4 linked regions of the Arabidopsis thaliana genome follow. The protein of the gene in region 3 binds, or shares a complex with, the protein of the main gene of each other region. Each region holds a gene or a part of one and is shown on either strand. Other genes may lie near its edges.

Evidence for each region.
Region 1: TAF6B (region 3) and TAF4B share a complex: the UniProt entries of both Arabidopsis thaliana proteins name them as parts of the TFIID complex.
Region 2: TAF6B (region 3) and TAFII15 share a complex: the UniProt entries of both Arabidopsis thaliana proteins name them as parts of the TFIID complex.
Region 4: TAF6B (region 3) and HAF01 share a complex: the UniProt entries of both Arabidopsis thaliana proteins name them as parts of the TFIID complex.

The regions. Positions count from the first base shown.
Region 1 is NC_003070.9:9,642,803-9,649,266, forward strand, and holds TAF4B (TBP-associated factor 4B), read right to left. Parts: upstream 4,575-6,464; coding exon 4,533-4,574; intron 4,523-4,532; exon of another isoform or gene 4,414-4,522; coding exon 4,347-4,413; exon of another isoform or gene 4,077-4,346; coding exon 3,844-4,076; intron 3,754-3,843; coding exon 3,652-3,753; intron 3,400-3,651; coding exon 3,339-3,399; intron 3,209-3,338; coding exon 2,502-3,208; intron 2,276-2,501; coding exon 2,151-2,275; intron 1,999-2,150; coding exon 1,911-1,998; intron 1,826-1,910; coding exon 1,687-1,825; intron 1,595-1,686; coding exon 1,539-1,594; intron 1,453-1,538; coding exon 1,396-1,452; intron 1,317-1,395; coding exon 1,194-1,316; intron 1,105-1,193; coding exon 1,054-1,104; coding exon of another isoform or gene 1,039-1,053; exon of another isoform or gene 970-1,038; coding exon 810-969; intron 701-809; coding exon 549-700; downstream 1-548. Other genes in the region: AT1G27710 (Glycine-rich protein family), read left to right, coding at 1-386; STZ (salt tolerance zinc finger), read right to left, coding at 5,500-6,183. UniProt on the Arabidopsis thaliana protein: TAFs are components of the transcription factor IID (TFIID) complex that is essential for mediating regulation of RNA polymerase transcription.
Region 2 is NC_003075.7:15,353,274-15,358,024, forward strand, and holds TAFII15 (TBP-associated factor II 15), read right to left. Parts: upstream 3,159-4,751; 5' UTR 2,918-3,158; intron 2,898-2,917; exon of another isoform or gene 2,531-2,897; intron 2,468-2,530; exon of another isoform or gene 2,451-2,467; 5' UTR 2,432-2,450; coding exon 2,339-2,431; intron 2,243-2,338; coding exon 2,178-2,242; intron 1,777-2,177; coding exon 1,714-1,776; intron 1,529-1,713; coding exon 1,477-1,528; intron 1,383-1,476; coding exon 1,332-1,382; intron 1,031-1,331; coding exon 950-1,030; 3' UTR 774-949; coding exon of another isoform or gene 698-773; 3' UTR 647-697; coding exon of another isoform or gene 566-646; 3' UTR 523-565; downstream 1-522. Other genes in the region: AT4G31715 (uncharacterized protein), read left to right, coding at 386-429, 566-646, 698-773. UniProt on the Arabidopsis thaliana protein: TAFs are components of the transcription factor IID (TFIID) complex that is essential for mediating regulation of RNA polymerase transcription.
Region 3 is NC_003070.9:20,288,909-20,293,691, reverse strand, and holds TAF6B (TBP-ASSOCIATED FACTOR 6B), read right to left. Parts: upstream 3,093-4,783; coding exon 2,973-3,092; coding exon of another isoform or gene 2,904-2,972; coding exon 2,656-2,903; intron 2,569-2,655; coding exon 2,462-2,568; intron 2,391-2,461; coding exon 2,314-2,390; intron 2,235-2,313; coding exon 2,097-2,234; intron 2,005-2,096; coding exon 1,909-2,004; intron 1,813-1,908; coding exon 1,688-1,812; intron 1,605-1,687; coding exon 1,472-1,604; intron 1,262-1,471; coding exon 1,136-1,261; intron 1,032-1,135; coding exon 920-1,031; intron 831-919; coding exon 532-830; downstream 1-531. Other genes in the region: NHX5 (sodium hydrogen exchanger 5), read left to right, coding at 42-163, 252-339; ABCD2 (ABC transporter family protein), read right to left, coding at 3,447-3,656, 3,745-3,995, 4,118-4,394, 4,472-4,713. UniProt on the Arabidopsis thaliana protein: TAFs are components of the transcription factor IID (TFIID) complex that is essential for mediating regulation of RNA polymerase transcription. Not redundant with TAF6.
Region 4 is NC_003070.9:11,853,731-11,858,410, forward strand, and holds the start of HAF01 (HAC13 protein (HAC13)), read right to left. Parts: upstream 3,036-4,680; 5' UTR 2,834-3,035; intron 2,622-2,833; 5' UTR 2,532-2,621; coding exon 2,486-2,531; intron 1,780-2,485; coding exon 1,676-1,779; intron 1,501-1,675; coding exon 1,438-1,500; intron 1,304-1,437; coding exon 1,258-1,303; intron 884-1,257; coding exon 629-883; intron 407-628; coding exon 315-406; intron 216-314; coding exon 44-215; intron 1-43. Other genes in the region: AT1G32760 (Glutaredoxin family protein), read left to right, coding at 4,521-4,680. UniProt on the Arabidopsis thaliana protein: TAFs are components of the transcription factor IID (TFIID) complex that is essential for mediating regulation of RNA polymerase transcription. Core scaffold of the TFIID complex.

The sequences.
Region 1 (6,464 bases), about 11 Mb from region 3:
CCAGTGAGATTGGAAAGAGTATCCGACACGTAACCGGATTTAAGGGTGAACTCACAGCTGGTGGCTACGGCGGTGGAGGCCCGGGATATGGTGGTGGTGGATACGGTCCAGGTGGCGGCGGTGGTGGTGTTGTAATCGGTGGTGGATTTGGTGGAGGTGCCGGGTATGGTTCAGGTGGTGGTTTGGGTTGGGATGGAGGCAACGGAGGTGGTGGTCCAGGATACGGGTCAGGTGGAGGAGGTATTGGTGGTGGAGGAGGTATTGGTGGTGGAGTCATCATTGGCGGTGGTGGTGGAGGATGCGGAGGTTCATGCAGCGGAGGCGGTGGTGGTGGAGGAGGATATGGACACGGCGGAGTCAGCACGAAGGGATCAGGCAAAAACTAGAAAAAACATGCAGCTTGCTTTAGGTAGTGAAAGGAAGAAGAAATAAGGATGTACTTTAGCATCTTGATCATGTTTAGGAGTTTGTAATGGCATTAGTTTTAATGGAATAAGAACCTTTCTACAAAAAAAAATAAAGAATTGGTCCTATGTCTTTTCTTGGTTTCAAACATCCGAGCAGATTCTATTGTATACGCGATACAATAGCGTCGATCTTGACATCTGAGGCTCCTTTTCCACCACAGCGATCACATCCTTCACAGAGATTGACCGGACTACTTTTGGTAAACCTTGGTTCTTCCCAAATTGTGTACCACCTACATAAAGTTCGAATATGCAATTAGGAGCACGAAACACAAGAATAACCAGCAACAGAACTGAGAGATTTACTCTTTCAGATCATAGAAACGGGATTACCAATCTTACCAGAAAGTTTCTTGGAGTTTCTTCCTGGCCCTGGAGAAGATCTCTGACGTGCTTCAGCCATAAGTTTCCATTTTGAAAACCTATCATCTCCTCCAACGGCTGCACGAACAGCAACATTTGCAGCCTTGGCTCTCTCTTTATCTTCGTCCTTCTTATTTGCCTGACTTGTGATCAATAAACCTCTTTCAGTGTACGTATGTGTATATCTCCAAAGGTTTAGGTAGTTGGCTCAAGTTCTAAATACCTTCACTTCGTTTGAACGTTGGTCTTCTTTTTCAGTATCATTTTCTTTGTTCTACATCAATGAATATACAAAAAAAAAAAACTAGACATTACTACTGATAACTAAGACAAATAGATATTAAGCTCAGGACAAACCATTACCTTTTCTTCTCCAGAATGTTTCTTTTCCCATTCCTCTTTCACCTTCTGATTCATTTCATTAATTTCTTTCCGGATATCAGATGTGATAAAAGTCCGATTTCTACACTTCTCTGCATCAGTCCGCTGCAAAAGCTCTTGTAACTTCAGAAAGATTTAGGTACAACAAGATCTAAGGAGGCATGAGAAGAGAAAGTAGACTGACCTGCTTTGATATTCGTATTATATTAAACAGTAGTCCTCGCATCCTCTCCTCCACACACTGAATGCGCAAAGCCATGAGAAAAACGAAAACAAAAACAGGAAATTGAAGGCTAATAATTCCAAGAAAAGGTGTTAACATCTCACCAGAGACAAGCACCGCTCTACATCATGGTCTATATGCTTTAAACCACTTTTTCCCACTGTCATATATGAAAGCATACATAAACTTCTTCTCCAAGTGATTCCAAGTAAGGACCAAAGAAGCAGCTAAGATACGAGTTGAAACACAAACTAATTTCTGTCAGCTTTCTCTGCAGTGGAATTTTCTGCAAAAGCGTTCTTTCTTCCTCTCCATGCACAAGTCTTCGATATGCTTTAGAAACACGATCGTTCTTTTTAGGACCAGAATCTAATAATTGTTTTTCCTCTTCCTAGAACAGATGCAGAAAGTAATTTGGTTTATTGTTTCTCTATATCCAGGTTCAAAATGAGAAGTGTAGCAACTCGTAAACATACCCTGAGATTGATGCCACTGACTGCAGTGACATCATTAAACTTTTCAATACTTTCATCTGAAGAAGTCCCACATATTTTTTGCTTCTTTCTGTATATTAAAAAATACATAAGACTTCAATTTAGCAATTCTAAATTGTTAGTAAGGTAAAAAGGATATTATCAGAAAAGCAAAGAAAAAAGGAAGAGTAATTTATGGACGCTGTAAGTAGTTCATCTTTCACAAACCAGCCAGCTCATTACCTTGATGGTGGCAGCGAAGAACCTAGTGCCTCAAGAGGTTTCTTCTGACCAACAGAAGGCATTTTGGGTGTCACCGTAACATTAGCAATCTTGGGAATGGTCTCAGATGGGGCAGGCATATTAACCTGAAGTGTACACAAATAATTTTCACGTAAGATAGATAGTCCATTTACTCTTCACAACCAAAGTTCGAAGCCAGTACAAGGAGAAATAGAAGCCAGGGTGGTCCAAAATATAAGCAAAACGAAACCAAATGCAACATCGGTTGAAGAGAAATGGTCCCCCTATGAGCTTAAAGAGAAGATCAACCAAATTGAAATCTGTCTTTTGAAAGTATAATTTATAAGTTACCATCGTGCTAGAGTCCAGCTGTGTTGTCATTGAAGGAAAAACAGAGCTGGCAGAAGTGGTTGATGTGAATAAACCCATTTTAGAAGACTGCTTCTCCAAGTCATCATTTGAACTAATTGGAATAGCATTCTTCTGTTTCAGTGGAACATTAGTCACGCCTTGCTGCACCAAATAACGAGGTTTATGTGCCTGTTCAAAACTTTGATCAATCAATTTATGCTCCACATGGATCACTGATGAAGAAGGTCCCACTGTATGGTCCTTGGTGACTGATCCTTGCCAAGGAGCAGAATATAGAGGAAAGGATGAGTTCTTTGGGAAGTCGGATATAGGACCATCCTGAACCCTACTTGGACCATTTACAAAAGTTGGCCTCTCAAACTTGGGTACTGTCGTCATGTTTATTGTAGACTTGGTTGGTCCTCCAACACTGGCTATTCCCACATTCTGATTGTTTTCCCTATGCTGGAAATCAGGGAGCTTTGCTCTCGATGATGAACCAGGAGAAGTGACATTTGTCCCTGGGTATGGATTAAGACTTCCAGATTTGGTATCCATATGAAAAGAACTTGATGGAAGCTGCATGTGTTGCTCGGGATGCTTATTTAATCCCTGCACAGTAGTTGAACTGTTTAAGGTGCCTGAAGTTGTAGAAGACAGTTGGTTAACATGAACTTCACGAGGATCAGATTCTTGAGCAGTGAATTCTGCAGTTAATGATTGTATCTGGGATTAGTTTTGTATGCTACAAGGAAATCATAAGATAAGATCTACCAGAAAGTTAAGATGATCTATGATAATTGCAAAAGTAAATGGCATCAACTAAATAAGTTATACCAGCAGATTTAGACACTTTGTCATGGTTTGAGCGTCCAGGTACTTTGATCCCCATATTTCCCTGGTTACACATACAGTTCATTCTGAAACCAGTAAGCCACAATTCCAAGACAAGAAGTATTCAGCTTATACTATTAAAGTGAGAATTCTTTATGTTATTTCCTTTTTAATAAGGTTCAGAAGTGAGATTTCTTTCTCAGCACATGTTCATATACAGAGAAGGAAGCATATAAAACAAGAAACTCTCTTGGAGGCTGCTAAATGAAAATCATTAAAGTACTTATAAATGCTAAGAAAATGGAAAGGGTAATACCGGTTTTAACTGAGGCAGTTGGCTAATTACCGATCTGATTATCTGATCACCTACAAGATCTCTCAGTTGTCGCATGAACTCTTCCATTGTAAGTTCTTTTCTCTGCAATCAAGTATGAAAAGAAACGTAATGTATTAAGAAACTTCGATCAGAGTGCCAATTCATTCATGGATGTAAACTGTAAAGCCACACCTTGAGTTTATAATGCAGGTTAAGACAATGCGTCTTTTTGCCGGGTTGGTGGTCTACCACGGTACGAAGCAAATCAGTAACTCGTGCTAATCTAAGATTATGATTCACAGGGTCAACAGTCTTTTCCACCCAAGGAGTCTCTTTGCTACTCATCTTCTGCAGTTTCATATACCGAGGTTGCGGTTTTTCTGATTCATTACCAGTAGTATTGTTTATAGACTTCAAGTTACTTCCTTGGGGCACATGAGTTCAAGCACCAAAATCAATTATGAGTATGCTCTAATATTTTTCTATGACTAACCGTCACTAAAGCATCATCAAGAACTAACAATCTAATTGCATCCATCAACATTCAACAGTTAACATCAAGTGAAACATGAAGATACATGACAAACCACAAAAATACGACTCGTGAACCTAAATCACTAAAGAAATCTAAAGGCATTTCCCTGTTTTGATACATTCCACAGTTTCGCATATGAATTTTAGGGTCCAAAACGAACCTTCAATATCTCGAATCAGAGAGTCCTGAAACATTTGCAAGTCATCTTCCGAATGCTTAGAGTCAACCTAACGACACGATTAGCGGGAATCGACATTTAGGAGCTTCGTCCACAGAACAAGATAGCGCGTGGATTTTCGCAGACAGTACGGAAATGAAAATGAGAGTGGGAAATTCGAAACCTAACCTCTTCGTCTTCTTCGAGGAGCTTGACAATGGAGAGATCCATGGAGGAATCTCGCGGTACCAAACGTCAATAGCTCAAAACGAAGAGGGAATTTTCAAGGAAACGATTTGTTGTATCCAATAAGATTCCAAATTCCGCAAGTTTTTATATAAAGGGAGATTCTGCGAGAACACCGTGTCGTTTTTTCTTTTTGATAAAACACTGCGCGCCGTTCTGTTGATCTTCTTTTCGGTAGTTGTTTCTTTTGGATAAAACACTGCGCGCCGTTCTGTTCTTCTTTTCGGTAACTGGGCTTGTTCTTGTATATCAAAATTTATTTTTCTTGAATATAATGTTGGAGTTCTTAAACAGTTATTCATATTAGCATCAGACTTTTGCAAAAAAAAATTAATTAACTTTTAGATGAATTTTGATACACGTTTATGACCATTGAGTTTTGGACTTCCCGTAGATAATTCACCAAATTAAAGAAGGGATTATCTACGTTAATTAAACAGTGCTACTAAAGAAAACAAACGACCCGTCAAGAAAGGCTTTTTTCAATTGAAAGTTACGGTATTCTTTTGGTAAAAGAAAAATGAAAGTTGAGTTTTCTTTGGCAGTCTTCCGTAAGATATCACAACTCTTTTTATTTGCTTAGAGCTTTCCAAAATATAAGAAAGAACAATATGTGGATGGTAGTAGAAACTAGAACGTTCTTGATTATGCTTAATTGTGTTATAAATTTTTTGAAAAAAACAGAACCAAAAACAGAGTTGTAGTGGTGTCACTTTATGCTTATTCAGATAAAAAAAAGACTCAACGCGTTTGTAAAATATGTGGTAAAGAATCGGTTTAATAATTTTTAAAATGAAAGAACAAGAAGAATTGGAATCAGTCAAAGTCCAATTTGGTATGTACAGTCAACAAATTCCTACACAACTCTCAACAGTATACAAACGAAATCTTATCGTCTAAGTAAATTTCCTTAAAGTTGAAGTTTGACCGGAAAGTCAAACCGAGGCTTCTTCGCCGGCATAGGGCTCATGACTTCGTCGTCTCCGTTGACCATCGAGAATTCAGGGATCGGAGGGATGTTGAGGTCAAACCCACGGTGGCTACTGCTAACGTGGCTAGTGGACCCCGCACCTTCGGAGTTGGACACGCTACTAGTGTTGATGTTGTTGTTTCCTTCGTAGTGGCACCGCTTGTGTCCGCCGAGAGCTTGACCGGAAGGAAAAGACTTGTTACAGATGGTGCAAACGTGTGATTTCCCACTTCCAGTAGTCACGGCGGATGTGGTTGTCGCCGACGAGGTTGAATGATCATCTCCTCCGCCGGAGAGAGTCTGTGATAAGTTCTTACGGTGGCTTGCCTTGTGACCACCGAGAGCTTGGTAAGAAGAGAACGTCTTGTCGCAGACGCTACACTTGTAGCTCAACTTCTCCACCGCCGGAGGAGGAGGAGGCTGACGGTTGTCGCGAGCGAGAAGCATGAGGCAAAAAGCTAGATACTCTTCCTCAGTGAGGTTTTGGTGGTGGAAATCGGATCTTGATCTCTTAGATCGCTTACCCTTTGTCCAGTGCTCGACTCCATGGAAGACTGAAGAATCTTCGAACAAAGGAGGAATCGGAGAAGCTAATCTTGGTGATGTAAGAGCCTCGAGCGCCATTAAGTTAAAGATTCTGAGGATTTCTTGTCTCTCGAGTTTTAGTTTGAAGGTTGCTTGTGAATTGCAGTGAAGAAATTGTTTAATTGCTGAAGAAGAAGTAATGAAAGTGTGTGTAAATATATAGTAGTAGGTGGAGTGTGGAGAAGGAAGTTGCGTGACAAGTGGTAGGAAAGTGTGAAGAGTGAAGGTGGCGATTAGATAATTACTATATTTTTCTAAAACTCTTTTTAATATGCGGACCAAAGTTGTGATGAAAGTATCTAGATGTTTTTTTGGGGGTA
Region 2 (4,751 bases), on a different chromosome or scaffold from region 3:
AGTCATGCGAGAAGAAATTGGACAGAGACTTTACATATTACAGACAAAAAGTCGGCATATAGAATCATTCCAGACAACGTTTATGGTCCTGTATACATATAAGGAGAATGTGCTCAGAAACCACAAGTACCTATGTCATATAAAAAACTTGAAACTTACCTTAACTTTTCAGCCTCAAAACATTTAAAACAAAACCGACTCTGAAAGAAAGACAGAAACAGAGAGAGACAGAGAGAGTGTGTACGAGGTGACACTCGAAACCGGGAAGTAGTGGCTGGAAGAAATGCGGATTGGTCGGAGACTGAAGTGGAGGATTCACCATTTCAAACAATTCAGGAGGAAAAAAACTCAAGAATCTTCAACTTTCTTTGTGATGAAAAAACCAATGTGTTCTTGTCTTCAATGTAGCGTTGTAAAAGCTGACGAAAGGTTACTAGATTTTTCAGATTGTTGTCTTCTTTCATGTATTTCTAGGTAAAGAATATTCGGACATGAGAAAGTGAAAAAACAAAACAGAACAGCTTTTTTCAATTGCTAAATTCCAAAAAGTAACTTTATTATTGAGATGCCGCGGTTACAAAGGGGGATTGTCTAAAGGTATACAACAGAGTGTGGCAATGTTTCAAGTTAGATCAGAAGCACTTAGGTTCATCATTGCTAGATGGAAAATATACTTTGTGGTTTTTCAATCCTACAGTATCCAGTTAATCACAAGGATGGATACTTATCTTATTTTCACGACTTGGAGACTTGCAAGAATGGTGGATAAGTGATGTAGAACCCCAAAAATCACCAGAGAACAAACAACAAACGAATATACATGTAATGTAGTAATTGAGGACTAGCAAGACAAGTGAGTTTTGTTTTTAACTGAAACACAACAGAGAATCAGGGATCTGAGACACATGACCGTCCTTACTAGGCAAAGATTTTGAGGAATTCCTGGTTTCTATTCGTCCCTTGTTGCAGGGTCCATTCCAGTCGAAGGGCTATCAGCAAAATATTCTGGATGCTTCACGTTCACACCATACTGCCAAACCGAGTTTACTCACGAGTTAGCTTCCCACTACTAGTTAAGACGAGACTGTAAAACCTTACCTATCTACCTACACTACTGCAATACACAATATTATAACCACTAACTCTAAAACATGTTTCTAAGCATTTTATGTTGATTCTGTGATACTGAATTAGTTTCATGCCATGTGTATTTAGAGTAATTTGCAGCTTAAGTAAAAAAAAACAAGAGACATCTACATTTTCTTCTCATACATTGGAGGTCTGAGGGACAACAATACCAGAAGCATGAACTTAGAGGAAGAAGCATTTACCTCACGCAAAGCTTTTGAAAGATCTTCCATTGTCAATACCAAACGCTTATCCTGTTAAGGAAACATTAATATTCATGTCATCATCCAAAACATATTTGTTGCAGTCTTGCAGAGGGAAAAAAAACAAAAGGGAGTCAGATGTTACCTTTTGCTGTTTTTTGTCTTTCACAACTGGTGCTGGTCTAGCCTTGCAATGCCTGTATATAATTGACAATTTTTATTATTCAGGAGCTTATATCAATGCTTTTAGCTTCTGGGAAAATCTAGCGTAGACATCTTTTCATCTCATCTACTCAGAATGGGCAGTGTCTTCTCTTTCTCAATTACAAGTCAAATATGAAAAAGGGTATGATAATTCGTTGTGAAGAGAATGAAAACTTACTGAAGGGCGTCACTGGCAACATCTGCAACAAACTTTTGTGTAGCCACAGCAACTAGCCTTATCCTGTCAAACAAGTAAACAAAAAAACAGAATATTGGCAAGAATAGATACAGGAAAAGATTATGACAGGAGTGAAAAACTCAAAAACTAAAATATACCAATATTCAGCACTCAATTTGATAGAAAGAGAAGAATCCCCTCATTATTCTACGCATTCAAACTGAACTCTGAAGTTTACATTCAAATTGCCAATCTTTTTCAGTGCTAGTCCAACATAGACTTCTTTATCATACCATTTTACAGGAATGTTAAACAGGGCAAAACCTTAATCCAAAATGATTTAAACCAAGCCATTGATCTAACTACTGGTCACCCATTCTAAGACCCAACAATGATTCCATTCAATATCAACTTATCTGCTCTTTCATTGTAAGTATCAGATATAACTTGTCGGAAATACCTACAATCGTACGTCGGGGCACTGAAATCCACTCTTAGCCAAGTAGTGCTCCACTAAATCATCAGGAATCTGAAAGAAAAATAAAAATCCAGAACTCAATCAATACCCAAATTTCAGTCATGTAGAGCCGAGAAAAAGTTGTAACTAGTACAAAGGAAAGTATACAGTAGGAGTATAATCCATCAGAGAAGCAAGGAACTCTGTAAGAGCAGCATCATCTTCATGCTTTGCCTCACCAGATTGTTGGCCGTGATTCATCTCTCCCACCACCAGAGTACTGAAGCGAAGCAACAACTGTAAGTAAAGAAAGGTTTTCAAAATCAAACATTAATAAAGAACCTCTGAACTAGTATCTACCTCAAATTAGAAACTTGTACGAAACCTAAGAAAGAATGTCATGACTCATGACACAATTATACCAAAATAAGTTTTACGAGAATTTTGACTACTGAAACTTTCCAGCTCAATTTACTAATTCTCTGTTCCAGATTTGTCTTCTCGTATGACATTATTGTTTCTAAGTAACGAACTATTCCTGATTTGTGTTGCAAAAGACCACACCAAGTTTTGAATTGAACGACGTGAAGTAAACTAAGAGGGCTCTGATTCATCAAGAAACAGCATTCATGAGCAAAATTCGATACCACCCAAGAGAAAATTCAACCGAAAAAAAGACAAAATTGAGCTGAAATTGAAACCAGAGACATAGAGGAAAAATTCAATAAAGTAAGCGATAATGCGAACCTAAACGAAGCAGCAACGGAAGAGAATTGAGCTGAGACGAGGCAAATCAATGGTAAAGAAGAGAAGTTTCGACGGATTTCGGGCGGGTAGAAGAAAGGATCGGAGATCGACTAGTGAGTCTCCGTTGAAACCCTAATCCTCCGACTGGTCCAACTCAGAGCCATCTCCGCCGGTCAGATTTTTAAGAGTTGAGAAAGAATCGTTAGATAGACTAATGGGCCTATTGATTTAAACTATGGCCCAAACTTAAGGAAGTATTCTTCACATATGGCCCAAATTTAGGTTTTTTTTTTTCCTTTTTCACAATCCATTTTTTATTCTCTTCCCATAAAATCAATATTTGAGTTTAGTGTATCTAAGAATATCGAAACGAAATTGTCAATCAATAAAATCTCAAAAATGTAACTTTAGTGTATAGTGTTGTACAATCTGCTGTATAGTGAGCTTTAATTTGATGGGAGACAAAGAATATGACAATGAAAGCACTAACTCCATCTAGACGGAATATTTAATGACCAACAAAAGCAGTTTTTGTTTTTCTCATTTGTCAACTCATAGTCATTAGAAAAAGACTTAAGGGTAGTTTTATATATTCTACGAGAAGCAGGTGGTAAATTCAGTGAAGAAGGATTGGACTAATTCTCTCCATAAAAACATAAAAGAGAGATATGTATATGATGATACTTTATTTCACGGGATTCCATTTGTTTGTTTGTTTTTGGTTAATGGTGGATTCCATTTGTAGGTAAATTAATGGATAAATACCAGATAAATAAATCCATATTTTCTCAAATATGCTTCTTAGACGCTACGTATTATGTATTTACATTTAAATCATTTTCCAAAAGCTTTTTTTTTTTTGTATAAAACCAAAATAAGAGACAGTTTATTCAAGAAGCTAGTTTACCTAGTTATATCAAAGGGGCCAATCAGAATCTAATGTAAACTATATCCAAGTCTCATTGTCATGGAAAAAGGTTTGATTTAATTTGACGATTTTTAAAAAACGGTTGTTCAATCGCGGCATAGGAATATTTTTGGCTATAGGCTAGGACAAGCTATATGGATTGATTTGAACTTTCTCTTTAATTCTTTTCATCAAATTATGGAATATTATATTAAAACCTAGATATTTTAAAGAAAAAGAAAAATTGTATGCAAAAATTTAATTTACTTTTGGAATACGGATTCTAAATTTTTTTGTTGTTTAAAATAGTAAAGAAAAATAAAATATATCAATGAAATCAGGAAGAGGCAAAACATGGTGGCCAATCAAATCGGTTTACTTCAGGCGATCGACGAGCATTTCTAACGAAGCAATGTTCATGTGATCTCAATGGAATATCGACTGTTGTCAATGTGATCGTAACCATACTTTTAAGTTCTGCACTGTATTCTAATTTCTACACAACTATGTTATCTCAATTTTTAACTACTTCCTTCATTATTTACCTCCAGCAAGTGAAAATTAAAAGACCGATAGACAAACAAAAATACATAATCTAGTAAAACAAGTACTAAAAATCTAACATGGTAGAAGAGAAATTGTGTATGTAGGTTCTTTGCAAATAAATCGTGTGTATACTGTATAGACTGATAGACTATTCCTTGTTTGGGGAAAAATGGCTATACACTTATAATATTTTAGAAGTGTCACAAAATAGAAAACTATTTTAAAAAGTAACTTTCTTGGATCGAAAAAATAATAATATGATATATGGTAGGGAAATTTTTACTAATTTTATTAAATTTAATAGGAAGTATCATAAGCACCCATATAGATATGCATAAGTTTGAAACAGAAAATTTGTAGGTACGGTTAGTCGGCTATAAG
Region 3 (4,783 bases):
TGTGTATGTACTTTTTCTAACGCTCCCAGATACGTGGTTAGGGCTTTGAAGAGAGCGATCATCAGTATGTCCCTCCTCCTTTTAGCATTGGAGCTTCATCTGACGAGGATACATCATCATCAGGAAGCAGGTTCAAGATGAAGCTGAAGGAGTTTCACAAAACGTAAGAATAAGAGAATGGCTTAGTATGTTTTCCTGAGTAAAAAGCGATATTTGCAATTTTTTGGGACTCACTTGACAAAACTTTGCAGCACTACATCATTCACCGCGTTGGACAAAAACTTTCTGACTCCGTTCTTCACAACTAATAGTGGAGATGGAGATGGAGATGGGGAGTAGCATGGAAAAGATGTGTATTTGTGGTCCAGGCCAAGCTATAATTAGAGTACACATATGTCTATGTAAGATTAACACTGGTTGATTTTACCTCTCGCAAAATGCCCACTATAAAGTTGACGATTTCCAAGACATTTCGAAATATTATATAGATGTATTTATTGTGGTACATACAATTACCATGTCAATAATCTATTACAAGAAGAAACTGAGCTCATGTGTGGGGGTGAACATAAGCATGCTCTCACCAAAATACTCAAAAAGAGGAAAGAGATAGTTGTCGACGTCAGTGCCTGCAGCAGCTGAAGTCTTCGGAGCAATTGTTGAGGGACTATTGTGGTGCCGTGCATCTGCATCTGTGTGGGACTGTTGAGGGACTGTTGTGGTTCCGCGCATCTGCATTTGTGTGGAGCTCATTTGTATAATTCCCCCTACTGCTATCTTCTTCAGTGGTGGTTGATGAGTTAAGTTGTCACTGCTTGCTTTGCGTTTACCTTGGCCGAAGAAAAAAATTATTTAAGAACGCGTATCTCCGTGTTTAGAACGCCAAAAGAAAAAAAAAGAATGAGACCAGATTTTATACTTTGCCTGGGGCTGGTGAGCTTTCCATTTGTCTTCCAGACAGAGCTAGTTGGAGGAGACAGCAGTGTCTCAGATGTTTTAAGCCGTTCATATAGGCATCGACCAGCTGCCACCTATGGAAAGTTAAAGTTTATATGCTCTCCTGCCTGTTTTGCAACACGAGATTGAAAGCAAACAAGTTTTCTAATTTCTGTATCAAACTAGAAAGCATACTCACCATCAACGCTCCATAAACAAGCCAAGCCCCATGCCTCTTAGCTTCTTCCTTCTGCTTCTCAAGTCCCATTTCAGGTAAAAGAAGCAGCAAATACGGCCCTAGGTTTGGGAGAACAAGAAAGCGAACCTAGACAAAGGTATAAAGCAAGAAAATACTTACGGACGACCAAAGGATATATATCTTAAGGTTCAATTGCAGGTTTAATAACTTTATCGAGGATGTCGGATCATGCTACTATTAGTTTTAAACTTATGCTTTCTTATGTAAAAATTCTAGACGCACAACCTAAAGTGCTACTCTTCGTTATGATAATCAAGAAGCATCAAGAGGAAGTACCATATTAAGCCCAAGGGCTACCATCCCTTGAATTGCCCCATAGTGTTGTGGGAGTGCCTTGGTTGGGTCCAAAAAGGTATGAAGCAGTGATCTTGTGACACGTGGCAACAAATTGTGATAAACGTGTCCAAACCTGTAAAAAGTTCACTAATGTGATTGCAAGTTATATGGTTGTATAAGATGCATGAAATCACAAAGCAAGAATGTAACATTAACCTTTTGCACGTTGAAGCAACTGTGCTGGCAGTGAAGTTTCTCAAGTCCCAGTGATTATCAGATGACCTTCTTCCTAAGCGCTTGGCAATAAGGCAAGTGATAATAGACGGCATCAACTGATGCAGCTGAACAGAATACAACAAGTTAAAAGTCAACAGAAGGAGGAGAAGGGAGAAGAGAAACAAAAAAAAACAAAAAAAAAGTGTGCGCACAAAACTTACATATGGCTCAATATGTACATGAGGGTTATGAAGGAGGCTTCTAGCAAGACGCATCAAAGCCAACAAGATTGGATAATTATCCATGTTTTTGACAATCTGGAGAAATTGCAAGCACAAAAAAAGTAGTGAAAATGTGGTCAAGTTAGAATAAAAGTCAAGACTAGAAGTGTTGGATTACAAAGACAAACCTCTTCAGCGATGAAAGAAGTGAAAAAGGGAACTAATGGGTGGAGTCCAGGATCAATTTCCAAGCTGGCGAGTGCTTGTCTAAAGAGGGTGGAGCCAGATTGAGTCAAAGCCCACTCCGTGACTTTGTCAAAGTAAATCTGCATCGAGAGCAAGCAAGGATTATATAGCATTCAAAGAGCGAGGTAAAGACCCAAAAAAAGAAGGGAGTAAAATAACCTGAAGGTCCTTAGAAAGCACCTGTCTAGCAGCCAAGCCATCGTCCTTATATTCCGATCGTTTAAGGTCAGATATGGCTACAAATTGTCATGGAAGAGGGATTAGAAGGAGAAGTAGTAGGTGATGCAAAAGAAGACAAAAGAAATACCTTGGAGAGGAGAATTCTGTGGAATGGAAGGTTGAATACCATCAATTGCCAACCAATGAGAAAACAGATGCATCAGGAGGTGCATTTGGTAGAGGAGCTTCGATAACCTGCACAAGAGACCATGAAGGGAAGCTTAATAACAATAAACAACATTTCACCATCTTCTTCATTCATGGCCAATCAATGAAGCTTACATTCTTGAGCTCGACATCTTTGTCATCGAAGAAGTATAGATCTCTGTTCTCAGGAGCTCTCTTGAACCGCATACTTTTGGAGCCAGAGGTAGGCTATACAAAAAAAAGTCAAAATCAGGGTCAACGGTATGAAATAAAAGAAGAAGAGAGGAAGAGGAAACCTCCAAATTCCTGAAATGAAGAGCAGAATCGACATCATGAGCCATTAAAGTGGTGCGTCGAGCATGACGCATGCATTTGATAGCTTCCTGGAGATTGCGACGACAAGTTAAAGAGGAGATTAGAGGGCAAAAGTAAAGTTGAAGTTGATGATATACCTGCATGACCTCTCGGACGCGATACTCGACATCGGGAGCAAGAGCGGCTGAGACGTCCGGAGAAAGAGTGGAGAGTCCAATGCTCTGAGCTATCACTTCAATGGATTCTTTCGTCACCATCCTCCTTGCGCCTTCTTTCTTTTTCGACTTTGAGCGACTGAGTCGAGTCAGTCGTGTTACATTTTCTCACTCTATCAGGCTTTCTCAAATGGGCCCATCGTTAGATTTATTGGGCTTATGATAAATACTCAGCCGGTTTTGAATTTTTAGCTCATCTCGCGTGTTATTTTTAATCAGAACTTCGTTGCACTCGTATCTGTATCAATCTCTCTATTTACTTGCATCTTCAGTCAACGTCAAGTCTGGTAGATTATATACAAAATGGACACCAAACATGTTTCTTATATGTTTCATGACACCCGTTTGCAGATTTACCTGCTGCTTCTGTCTCTTATGTAATCAATCAGGTTTTGATCAGCTTTCACTTGGCACCTCCTTTTGATTCAATCTACCGTACAAAGAATCTTGGGCATCCACGTCCTCTATTCGCCAGTTACGTTCATTGCTCTTCGGGTCTGCCGTTGAGATTTGTAAGATCTTGTTATGGAATTTCGTTAAAGTCCGGCGGTGGCCAATGCTTATATATGTAATGCCAGCCGACTGGATTTGCTGGTACAGGAACGCCTGGGCATCAAGAGGAATTTTAATGGCTCAACGCTACATGTACATGATATTATTCTAAATGATAGATGAGAGGAGAACCAACAAGTACCTCATTAGCTTCATCCAACGCACTGGTGGATTCATCCAGGAGCGCCAGCTTTGGCTGAGACAGCAATAACCGTGCAAAGGCAAGGCGCTGCTGCTCACCAAGTGAGAGAACACTGGACCACTCGTGTATCGAATCAAGACCACCAAAGCGATCCGCTATATGTCCAAGACAAACCTTCTCTAGAGTCCGCATCAGATCATCTGTTGTCGGCTTTTCATTTCCGTCCTCTCTAATCAGCAGAGGTGGTGAACCTAACAAAATCAACGCATTTTTTCTTCAGTCGATTTGCTTTTGGGTTCTATAATCTGCTTGCATAAACTTAAATGGAGTTGAAAGAAATGGTTGTTACTAGACACAAATTTAAACTGAGTACCGTCAATATTACTGCCACCAGGTGTCGTCTCCTCCACAGTTGCACTCCAGGTAGGATAAAGCAATTGCTGACGCAAAGATCCCAGAACCATATAAGGCCTTTGTGGAAGGAACAATACGTCTCCTCTTTTCCCTGAATTTTCCTGAGTATCAGATTTCTCCTGTGTAAAATCTACCTCAGGATCGAGGTAGAACGTGATTTTTCCTTTCCCTGACCTCCAAAGACCAGCCATTGCTCTTAGCAGCGAAGTTTTTCCACTCCCACTAGGACCCATTATCTGTTAAATGGCATTTTTAAGTAACTTCCAATCTACCAGTCACATGCTTTAAACACAAGTAGTCAAAGTGAACTAACCAGTAGGTGATCCTTGTCATATACATCTGCAGATAAGTTGTGAACCAATGTGGTTCCGTTTGTTGGTGTCTGAAGAGTAAGCTCCTCGATCTCCAGACGCTTTTGGTTCGGTTGGGACTTGATTGAACCATTGGTGTCCAGCAGTGAAGAGTTCATCTCACTCTGATATGTCAGCTCAATCTCGTCCACAGTGTCAGATGGATCTCTGAAGATGTTGTTATCCAAAAGATCATCAAATTCACCTGTGTTGGAAGAAGTCTTGATATTGTTAGATGCGTAAAAGGAGAATCCCAACCTACAGCAAATGCAGTT
Region 4 (4,680 bases), 8.4 Mb from region 3:
TCGAGAAGAAACAAAAAGAGGAAGAACATTCCAGATCACATACCTCTACAAGTGACATATCTATTTTCTCTCCTATCCCGTTTCTGTGGAGGCTCATGGATAGCAAATATCTCGGAGAACTGTAAGATAACCATACCATCTTCCACATACAACGTAGGCAGTGGGGTGGCGCCTTTGTCATCCAATGTACCTTCCAATAACTCATCCACCTCCTCCTGAATGTTTTGATGAGATCACTAACATAACAAAATCATCCCACAGCAAAAATATGTTATTTGAGACACAATTTCCCTTTATTTTGAGGGGAAACTGACCTCCTGGACATCTTCGGTGTCCATATGATCCTCTTTATCCAAGATGCTAGCCTCCTCTTCATACTCCAAGGCCTTGTCTTCCTTTAAGACAACTGCAACGCAATTTTTTTTGTCTTGTTAAGTTTATATTCTCAAGGACTTAAATCACACTAGACTACAGCTTTGCAAGTAATCATTTGCCTGAGCTCAACAAGTATAATTACAGGAAGAATGACTTAACAAAACCAATTTGAGTGATGAGATAACACAACAAAAGTACACTTTACTATGGGATAATTGTTTTGTTCAAGAAACGGAAATTTCGAAATGCAAACCTGGTTCCCTCTTTTCAGTTTCAAGAGATTTTTCAACTGGCGCTTGCTCCTCCTCTTGTTCTTCTTCCTCGTCATAATCTTCATCATCAAACACAGAAGCTCTGGACTTTAAACTACCCAAAGCAACTGCAGTCGAAAAATACTCCTTTTTTGGCAGTAGATGATCTTCCTCACTGACTACTTGAACTTCGGGCCCATCGTACTCTTCATCAATATCCTCATAATCAACAGCATCCTCAGCTTTTCTATCATAATCTACACAACATATCACCACAGTCAATGACGCTGATGACCAGGATTTGGTAGTGTAAATAGTGTCAGTATGTAAATGCTACGGGCAGGAATGTTGCATATTTAAAGATTGTAAACGTGAGTAGTTAAAATGTTTATGCATATAAATTACGCAAGACACTTTCTTAAACAATCCAATAATAATTGGATTATGACTACAACGAAAGTAAGAAGAGTGCAAGACCATTGTGATGGAAACATTCACTGGGAGAAAAACTTTCTAGCAGGTTTCCTAGAAGCTACTCCAGTATGGTTTAAAGAAACGGTAGAATGAAAACTAGAAGTTAAATGAACAATAAAAACTGCATAAGATAGACGACCCTGGCAGACAACATCACCTTGCTCAGCTGGATCACTTGCTGTACGTTCTGATTTTGCCAATAACTGTTGAGTTTAGAAACACCATTATTGGCATCCCAGTACAAGAAAAAGAGGATTAAAAACCACATAAAAGACTCGCAGTTCACTCGTCTATAAACTTTAGAAGATAAAATATTAAAGAGTGTGTAGAACGTTACATTTATATCTGGTAGAGATGAACCCAGCTTATCTGCCAATGCAGAAAGATGTTCTTTGGCGTCCTGAAAAGTTTAAATGTTAGCATTGGCACAGGTATGCTTGGTGGAGAATTTGCAACTCATAGTTAATAAAATACATATATCCTAAGTCCAGAGAGAATAGACAGAAAAACTGAGACCGATAATGAAAATAATGTGTTCAACAAGGTCATCATACTGAAAGCGTAAAACAGATTACCTCATCAAGGTAATCAGCGTCCAAGTCCCCAGAGTTATCAACATTTCCAAAGATGAATCCAAGGTTAAAACCCCTGCTGTTGTCCTCATATTCATCATCGTCATCTGCAGCAGACATGTAAAATATTGGTGTTCACCAAACAAATCTTGGCAGACATGTAAAATATTGGTGTAAAATGGGAATGCATGTGATAACTGATTATCATCACGAGTATTCAGAAATCACAAAGATTGCATGTTAACACTCTTGTTAAACTGCTAAATCCAAGGTCACATAATCATTGGATTCCTCTCCATCATCTTATCAGGCTACAGTAGCCTCCATCTAGTGAAACTACTATTCCCATTCTCTTCGTCATCTAAGATCCTACAAACTCAATTCCCTCTAGAAATTTAGAAAAAATAATCTTAACTATACCCTAGAACATGTCCAGGATCACTCAAGACTGCTCCTTTTCTACTTAAAGAAATCCAAAATATTCAAAACCGTAAATCGGTCATGAGCTAGCCTAAATGCACCAAACACTAGCTAGACAGGGACATCTCTAGTTTCACAAACTGTAGTAATCCAAAATTCCACAACCTAATATTTCCAATCTCTTTGTCAATTAAGATCCTACAAACCAATACTCAGAATCACTCAAGGCTGTTCCTTTTCTACTTAAAGAGACTTAATCCGAAATATTCAAAACCGTAGAACAATCATAAGCTAGACAGGGGCATCTCCAGTTTCAGAAATCATGTCGACAATGGACTGGACCGGAAAAAAGAAAAGCAACAAACTTTGATAAAGAAAGCAACATATATATACCTGAGGAAGTCTCGTTGTGGGAACCCTTGCCATTGGATTCAGCCATATTCAAAGATTTAACTACAATGGTGACAATCGGGAGACGACAAGGCAATTGTCCTTCCCAAATCCCCAACCATTAAAACTCAATCAAAACCTTCAAAAGAAACAAAAAAAACTACACAATTACAAGCCAACCTAAACGGACCTGGAAACAAAAAAAGCTAACTTCTTTATCTGAAACTTCATCAAAAGAGTCTCAATTTGGCTTTAAAATCACAACCAAATCGAAACCCCATTGATCAATTTTCGAGTTAAGCTGAGTTGCAATCAAAGCATTGGATAAAATTGAAGAAGACGATACGATACCATTCACTGATACGAGATTGTTGGATTGGAGGGTTCTTTCTTGAAACCCTAATTGAGGGTACAAGTAAGCTTCGCCGGAAAGGTAAACCAGCTCAATCGGACGAGACGGTACGATGTCGGAGAGAAGTTCCGAGGTAAGCAAACTCTCAAATCGGAGGAAAAAAAAAAGTAATAACAAAAAAAAGAAGAAAATTGCGAAGCGACCAAGACAAGATTGTGAGGGCATTTATAAAAGTTTTATAACCCGACCCGAATAAAGTTTGAGTCCGGGTCTAATTTCTTAACCAGGAAAAATCAATTTCGTTGTTTGGTATGGAGGTGGTTAAGCAGAAATAGAGTCGGTTCTGAAGTAATTTTTGTTGTTGTTTAATCAGTGGTAATTTTACGAATTTAATAGATATATACCTATGATATTTCTTTAAAATATCTTTCTACCAAAATTGCAAAAGAAAATTGAATTTTAAAAGTATTATAAAAACATAACTGTTATAGTTCTACATTTAAATTTTCAATTTTTAATAATATTTTAATCACTTTAATTTTATTTTTTCGATCGACTAACATTCTAATATCCAAATTTAAGGCACACAAGTTTAATTGATAGTTTTATTTTTTTCATCGAATAACATCGGATGTGAAACTCTTTATTGCATACCTTGTACATATATAAAAATCAATAACATGTTGATTTTAATTATATAAAAAAATTTAATATTAAATAAAACCAGATTGAATAAAAATGGATATTAAGAAAATATATAGGTTCTTTTATTTTATGGACCACTGCGTCGGTAACTATGACGAAGTAAAACGGCAGTAGCCGTTAAAAAAAATAAAGTAAAATGATCCATATAGACAGATCGGAGATGTCGCTGAAAAAATAGAAGTGTCGTTGGAAAAAATAGAGATATTGATCTAACAACGTAGGAGTCGTGAAAAATATAGCGGCCTAAATGAACATAATCCAGCTTTTCTTCCATTGTCAGTTTTGAACAACCAGCAACGAATTTTATAATAAATTATGCCATTTATTTCTCATTTCGTTCTTTAATTTTTAGTCATCAAATTTAATCGCAACGACCAATACAAGAAGAACATGGTATAATCATACCAAATCATTGATTCAATATTACCTTATTAGATTTTATAAAATTCATTATCCATTCAACAATTGTACCTCAACATTTTCAAATGTACCTCAACAAGCAATTTTTTCTTTATTTAGTTTAACCTAAACAAGGAATTTATTTTTATTTTTACCATAACCATCATGAACTTTGTTGACTTGTTAAATGTCTCTATCTCCTTCTAACGAAATTATCAAAATCAATTTCTGTTCCTTATACTCCAACCAAATAGTGGTCCTGATTCTAAATCCTAGTTCTAAAATTAAGCCTTGTATTTTCTCTTTTTTATTAACGTAAAATCAAACAAAACAAATATCTCAAATATTTTGTTAAGAAAAAAGAATTCTTTATTCAACGAAAAATATGGATTAAAAAGAACACCAAAGCCACGTGCATTGTCACTTCCCAACTTTAGAAAAATTGTATTTATATAAACAAGTTTTATCTAATTAGCAGTTTTATGTTATTTTGTCTTTAATCTCACTTCACCGTCTCTCTTTCACTCAATCTCCGTGATTCATTTTTTCTCCGACGTTGCTTAATCCTCGAAATCTCCGGCGATGGGTGGTTGCGTCTCCTCCAACCTCCTTACTCCGACCGATGACAGCAGCTTCTCTCACCTCACCAGCTCCTCCTTAAGCCAACATTTCGTCAAGCTAACTTCCACCACTTACGGTCTTCTCAATCTCGACTCTTCTTCACCTTCTCCTCCGTCTCCTT